2 linked regions of the Canis lupus familiaris genome follow. The protein of the gene in region 1 interacts with the protein of each later gene in a pairwise test. Links are inferred from orthologs where the notes say so. Each region holds a gene or a part of one and is shown on either strand. Other genes may lie near its edges.

What was found. The genes of interacting proteins can lie anywhere in the genome.
Region 2: the proteins of PAK2 (region 1) and RHOJ interact in binary tests that used the Homo sapiens proteins (3 or more experiments, as listed by UniProt). The two-hybrid records come from large-scale screens. The link is inferred for Canis lupus familiaris from reciprocal best matches to the Homo sapiens genes PAK2 and RHOJ.

What each region holds. Positions count from the first base shown.
Region 1 is NC_049254.1:30,553,440-30,557,088, reverse strand, and holds part of PAK2 (serine/threonine-protein kinase PAK 2), read right to left. Parts: intron 2,207-3,649; coding exon 2,010-2,206; intron 1-2,009. UniProt on the Homo sapiens protein: Serine/threonine protein kinase that plays a role in a variety of different signaling pathways including cytoskeleton regulation, cell motility, cell cycle progression, apoptosis or proliferation.
Region 2 is NC_049229.1:38,078,536-38,082,284, forward strand, and holds the start of RHOJ (rho-related GTP-binding protein RhoJ), read left to right. Parts: upstream 1-1,390; 5' UTR 1,391-1,482; coding exon 1,483-1,660; intron 1,661-3,749.

The DNA.
Region 1 (3,649 bases):
GTTATTTTCTTGTACTTGTGTCGGGTGGGTTGCGGGGATGTGATGGTGCGGGATGGAGTGCAGCTGCGCGGGTCTTGTCTGGGATTGGTGAGGGGGGGTCTGTATTTGCTCGTCTTATTTATTGTGGGTTTCTTGTCTTCTTTCTTTTTCTTTCTTTCTTTCTCTCTCTCTCTCTCTCTCTCTTCTTTCTTTCTTTTTTTTTAAAAGATTTTATTTATTTATTCATGAGAGACACACAGAGAGAGAGGCAGAGACACAGGCAGAGGGAGAAGCAGGCTTCATGCAGGGAGCCCGACGTGGGGCTCGATCCAGGGACCCCAGGACCATGCCTTGGGCTGAAGGCAGGCACTAAACCACTGAGCCATCCAGGGATTCCCTCCTTTTTTTTTTAAAAAAAGACTTTATTTATTTATTCATGAAAGACACTGAGAGAGAGGCAGAGACATATGCAGAAGGAGAAGCAGGCTCCCTCTGGGGAGCCTATAGGGGACTCAATCCCGGAACCCCAGGATCACGCCCTGAGCCAAAGGCAGACGCTCAACCGCTGAGTCACACAGGCGTCCCTTCACATTCTCTATCAGTTATTATTATCCATCTTTTTTATTACAGTCATTCTTGAAGGTATGAAGCAGTAGCTCGTTGGGGTTTTGATTTGCATTTCTTTAATAACTAATGATCCTGAGTCATATAGTAGACACAGGGGACACCTGGGTGGCTCAGCGGTTGAGCATCTGCCTTCAGCTCAGGGCGTGATCCTAGAATCCCTGATCGAGTTCCACATCAAGCTCCCCGCAGGGAGCCTGCTTCTCCCTCTGCCTATGTCTCTGCCTTTCTCTCTGTATCTCTCATGAATAAATAAATCTTAAAAAATAAATAAATAAAATAAAAGTAGACATAGAAGGGAAAAAGCAAGCAAGCAAGCAAGCAAAAGACAGACAGGGGACACCTGGGTGGCTCAGTTAGTTAGGCATCTGCCTTCGGCTCAAGTCATGATCCCAGGGTTTTGGGATAGAGCCTTGCATTGGGGCTTCTCCCTCTAGCTCTCCCCTCCCCTACTCGTGCTCTCTCTCTCTTAAAAATATCTTAAGAAAAAAAAGACAAAGAAAAAGAAAAGAACAAACTCCTAATCTCTCTACCTCCATTGCTGAAATATCTAATTTTGTAGTCTACTAACCCCATCTGTATGTAACTCAGGGCCCTGACTCTTTTGTTTGAATGTGAGCTTTAACATTGCCTTCTACACAGCTTTCTTTCTTTTTTTTTTTTTTTAAAGATTTTATTTATTTATTCATGAGAGAAAGAGAGAGGCAGAGACACAGGCAGAGGGAGAGGGAGAAGCAGGCTCCATGCAGGAAGCCCTACGTGGGACTCGATCTTCGGTATCCAGGATCGCGCCCTGGGCGGAAGGCAGCGCTAAACCGCTGAGCCACCCGGGCTGCCCTCTACACAGCTTTCTCATAGATGTGATCTTCTTTTCCTCTTCTGTATACCTGACAGTATAGAGGCCAAGGTTCAAAGCTGACAATCTGAAGAATACACTTAGAGATTCTTTGTAGAAAAGTGAGCAAATTCTTGCTTAAGTGTAAAATTTAAAACCATACAGCTTACTAAGATTCTACAAACTTTTTACCTAACACATTCAACTCAATAACCCAGAAGCAAATAATTTTTAGATGTAGAGACCAGGTTATATCAACTTTGTATCCTAAATTTTTGCCCAGTGTCTGGCACAATCAGATTCTAAATAAATGTTCTGGGGCAGCCCTGGTGGCCCAGCGGTTTACCGCCGCCTCCAGCCAGGGGTGTGATCCTGGAGGTCCGGGACTGAGTCCCACGTCAGGCTCCCTGCATGGAGCCTGCTTCTCCCTCTGCCTGTTTCTCTGCCTCTCTCTCTCTGTGTCTGTCATGAATAAATACATAAAATCTTTTAAAAAATAGATAAATCAATAAATGTTCTAAAGAAATGAATTTTTCCAAAAATAAGGCTGGTGGTGTTTAATTGGTCTTACCCTCAAGGGATTTTCATTGAGGTATGGCGGCTCTCCTTCTATCATCTCAATAGCCATGATACCCAGAGACCATATGTCCACTTTAGGGCCATAAGCTTTCCGTGTAACCACCTCTGGTGCCATCCAGTATGGCGTTCCAACCATGGTACTTCTCTTGCTCTGCTCAGGGGTGATCTGGGCACAGAACCCAAAGTCAGCTATAAAACAAAACAAAACAAAACAAAACATATCTAGGGTCAATGATGTTCATGGACAGTTTCATTTAAGAATTAATTACATTTGACTACTCAGCCTCTTCTTTTTTAAGATTGTATTAAAAAAGTAAAATAGGGGCACCTGGCTATTGAAGATTCCACAGAGCATGTGACTCTTGATCTCGGGGTTGTGAGTTCAAGCCTCACAACAGGCTTAGAGCTTACATTAAAAAAAAAAAAGTAAACCAGAATGGGTTCACAAATATTTTGATGATGTTACCTACTCTGACTTATTTACTTTTATTTCCCACAAGCAAAGGACAAATTATGAGAAGGTCTTTTATTCTAAACAATTATCCTAAAAATTTTAATAAAGTTGAAAAGATCTAGAAGAGAAAGTTACCAAAAGGTGAACACCAAAACTAATTTTTGTAAGATAGGTAAAAAGGCCAGGAAGTGGGAACTATTTTTGAAGAAAATAAACAAAAGCTAGAATTACTAAGTATCTGACTTCTTAGAAAAAGAACAGCTTTAACTGCAACTGTAACTAACAAGGTCCTCCGCAACATTACTCTACTCCAACCACCTCATTTTATAACAGGAGCAGAAAGCCTATGTTAGCACTCATTGTTAACCTACCTAGTGGAAATGCTGGGATGAAAATCTTGAATTTTTTCCTCCCTTCTACAGACCCATTCTATTTCAAATGTAACCACTGTTAACATTTAGGTTTTTAAGCTTTGAACTTTTCATTGTAAATTTATATAGGTACAAATATTACCTGTGAACTGCATGGTTTATTTAACCTAGTTAGGATACTTTGTAAACTGTTTTTTTTTTTTTTTTTTTTTCCTTAAAGTAAACTCTACTCCCAACCTGGGGCTTGAACTCACCACTGAGATCAAGAGTCACATGCTCAACCAACTGAGCCAGCCAGGTGCTCTAGTAAATTGTCTCTTAAAATTAATTTTTAGAGATTTTTCCACCTTTGTACATTGATCTACCTCATTACTATAACTACACAATATTACAAAATAACAAAATTATAGTTTACCATTCCCATACTGCTAGACATTTAAAGTATTTTTTGTTGTTTACAATATTGAAGAGAACAACTTTGTATTTATTATTGTGCATGTGTTCATTAATTCTACCCCAGAGAATACTAAAAGAACAACTGTTTAGTCAAATCATAATATTTATGGCTAAAATGAGTACTTGTAACAAACCAGGTACTGTTTCAAGTACCTTGTAGGAAGTAAGATAACTAACCCTCACGATGACTCCAACAGGTACATTTATTAGTATTGCTCTCATTTTACAAATTGGGAAACCAAGGCACACACATTGTTAGATAACTTACCCGAGACCATTCATCTAGTATGTATCCTTGCAAGAGCAAGGATAAAATATTATCCAAAGAAGTCTAATTCAGCTTACAGGTGT
Region 2 (3,749 bases), on another chromosome or scaffold:
ATGCTCGAAAAATAAATGCTCATGAATCTCAAATTAACAGAGATTCCCCCCATCAAAAAAGTACTTGATCCATTTGTCAAAATCATTTGCAGAGTTCCACATCTCCTCTAAGACCAAGTACATTAATCAAACACAGGGCTTCAAGGGGGCTTCATTTTGAGCAACCCAATGGACAAATAAATTAGCTGCCAATGGCTCTTTTGTAATGGAAGAGGACCAGGCTGACCCAAGGAGACAGGAGTAAATCACGAAGGAAACTGTCCACGCAAAAGCAGCATTTTGGGGACCTGAAGGAAACCAAGGAAGCCATCCTGCGTACTCTCGTTTCCAAGAGCGTAAGCCAAGCACATGTGTGTTTATTCGCTAATAAGAAGCTGCAAATGTCCCGTGTCTGGCTGATTTCTTATGTGCTACAACCATACAGATGTTTATGTCTGGGTACACGTCTGAGTGTTGTGCTCAAATGCGGCAGCTCATAAACTTGATCACGCATATTATACCTATGATCTGTAAGAGTGTTTCCCTTCGACACGGTGTATTTCTGGAAGGTTTTCTTCTCTCTCGCCTGGATGGATTTCCTGAGGTCCCTCATTGAAATATGGGCAGAACTGTCCATTTCTACTTTGCAGAGCTTTTCGCTGGTGACTCAGTGAGGGATGATGTCATATGTTATCCTGCACCGGGCTGGTGTGGTTCCCTCTGCTCCCCTAAACCATTCCCTCTGTGTCTGGGGCGGACAGCACTCCCCTGTCGTCAGCTTCTTCCCAGCCAGCCCCAGGCAAACAGCCTCCCCAGCAGCAGATGAAACAGGAAGTCTGACAGCTTGAGTCTGCAGTGGGACCCCTAGTGTTTTCCCACTCCCTGCCCTGGCAGCGTTCCCCACAAGTACAAACACACGCACACAGAGCTCCCATTGTTGCAGCCTTCCCCAGCCCACTGATCCTAATATGGAATGCAGCAGGAAACCCATGATTTCCTGACACTCGCAAGCTGGAGGAAGCAAGGGGGAAACTCCATTAAAAAGCCCAGCTTCCCTCCATGTTAGATGCGAAGGGGGAAAGGGGGAAAGGGGGAAAGGGGGCAAGGCTGAGCAGGATCCCAACGTGCCCTCGGCCGGCCGGCGGGCGGGGGGAGCGCAGGGGGAAGCGCAGGCGGTTGGCATTCCTAGACGGCCAGCAAGCCCCCAGAACTCCGAGAGGATGGGGGCTTCTTAGCTCAAACTAGAGGGGAGCAGGGACAGAGGCTTTGGAGCGTTCTCCCAAACGTGCGCTGCCCTTCCTGACCAGTATGGTAAGCGCGAGGGCACGTGCCAGCCGCCCGGGCCAGGTCCGCGCCATCCCAGGCTCGCGAGGCGAGGCAGAGTGACCCGGAGCCCGCCCGCCGCCCGCCGCCCGCCGCCCGCCGCCCGCCGCGCTCCAGGGGCTTCGGGAGCAGCCGGAGGACCCAGGCGGCTGCACGGTCCCCGCAGCTGGAGCCGCCGGGATGCACTGCCCGGAGGGAGGCGACCGCAGCTGCGGCTGCAGTGGCACCGAGGACAAGAAGATGCTGAAGTGTGTGGTGGTGGGGGACGGCGCCGTGGGGAAGACCTGCCTGCTGATGAGCTACGCCAACGACGCCTTCCCAGAGGAGTACGTGCCCACGGTGTTTGACCACTATGCAGGTAAGGAAAGGTGGAGAGCCGGTCCCTGCGTCGGGGGCGGGGGGCACCGTGCGGGCGGCCACACCCCAACTCACAGGGGCCTGCTTGATTTCTAAGAGCAGGCAGTGTGGGGTGCGGGCCGGCAGTGGCCAGGTCCCGGAGCGGAACACACAGCCAAGGTCTTTGCTGGAACTATTAGGACAATTCCTACATCGATTGGCATCCTAACACTCCTCCCCCCGCCCCCCCTAAACCCTTAAATCGGATGACTAACACTGGGGAAATACCCTGGACCTGCTCTCCAGGCATTGGCGCCAGAGATTTCACTCCATGTGCGCCTGGAGATTGCTAACTTTTTACGCAAACGTTCTAAAATGTAGTGTGATTGCAACACACTTTTTTTTTTTACCAAAAAAAAAAAAAAAATCACCACTAACCACACAACTAGGGAAAGAAGTTTGCCACTTTTCATATATGTACCCCATGCCATTCATAAATGAAATGGTAAGATGAACAAACATTAGAACACTCATTTTTCTGTAACGATCGGTGGCTGTACTATTGTACTTTTTTATTTTCCTGGGGCTGTAGATGGGGGGGGGGCGGTTGGAGGGAGGAATACGAAATATTGGAGGGAGGAATACGAAAAGGTTTTAAGTGTCCATTAGGCAGTATGTATCTTGAATTAAAAGGAACATTTTTAATTAGTACGTTTTTAAGGTAAAACATAAAAATAACATTTGAATCATTTTATTTTTTTTATTTGAATCATTTTAAAGTATGTCCAGAAAGGATGAAATTGGACATAAAATATTTTAAGGCGTGACAGTTAAAATAAGGTAGCCACCACAACTTAATCTTTTCAGTTGCTTTTGTTTTCTGAGTGTTCTAAAGTTTGTAGGTGTTCTTATCAATGGGATAGCTTATCTCAATTTTTCCATGTTGATTCTTACTTTTTCTCTTCATTTCCAAAGCAAATATTGTTCTTCAAAAGCAAGTTCATGAAATTCTTCAAGTTTACAGTAGCCTAACTTTATAGGTTTTTTTTTTTTTTTTCAACAAAATAATCAGCTTCGGTGAGTTATCAGAGATTTGAGACTTCATAAAAGGAAATTCTCCCTTCCTTCACCTTGGCTTTGGGTCAGGTTCAGCAAAGGGGAAGTGGCCCACAGGAAACCTGTGTGAATGTTGGCTTTGCTATGTGGCCATTTGAAATCCTCTCTGTTAGGAAGTAGCTTCTTTTCCAGAGCTAAACAATCACCTAAGTCTCCTCCTTCTCCTACCGTTACAAGATTTATGACAATATTACATAGCAGATTGGGAGAGTACCACAGTGAAAATAGTATCTACTTCCCAGAAGGTTGTTTTATATTTGTAAAAATTAAGAGCAAATTTTAAGGCTGGCTCCCTTAAGCTTTTCTGAAAATATAATGACTGCGCCCAGAGAAGAATATTTTAATGAAAACAGAATAAAAAGAAAAACAAACCAAAACCAAAAAAAAAAAAAAAAAAAAAAAGCCTAATAAGATTAAAAGTAAGTAAGTAACTAAGTAAGTTACCAAAATACTTGACATGGAAACATCTTACCAAATTATTTATTCCACATCCTCTTTTCTGCTAGGAAAGGAAAACTGGCTGGTACCTAATTTCAAAAACTTTGAAAAAAAAAAAAAAACTTTTAGATCGGGGGCGGGGCAGGGGGGGCAAAGTCTGCTAAAGGAAAAGACCTCAAGTCCTTTTGAAAATGATGTATCCTGATCCCCATCTATTGGTCCAACCAATTATCAGTCTATATAAAGAAAGTCTCTCAGAAAGAAAGAGGATAAAACCATCTTTAGAGATAAAGTCAGCCTATAAAAAAATTTTTCGAGATCGAGCAAAGGCTGGACTACCCCTGGATTCCACAAAGATGAAATTATTTTATATTTCAATTGTCTATATACTTACTGTTATTTGTGCGTCAAAGCATCTTAAAGATTTTGGCTGCTCTATGATTTTACCTCTCAAGAAACTGCAGCCACTTTACCCAAAGCCATACATTGCACATAGTAGGCATTTCCCAACACTGTTGCTTTGATTTACACTTTGTACCTTTTTAAGTACACAATCA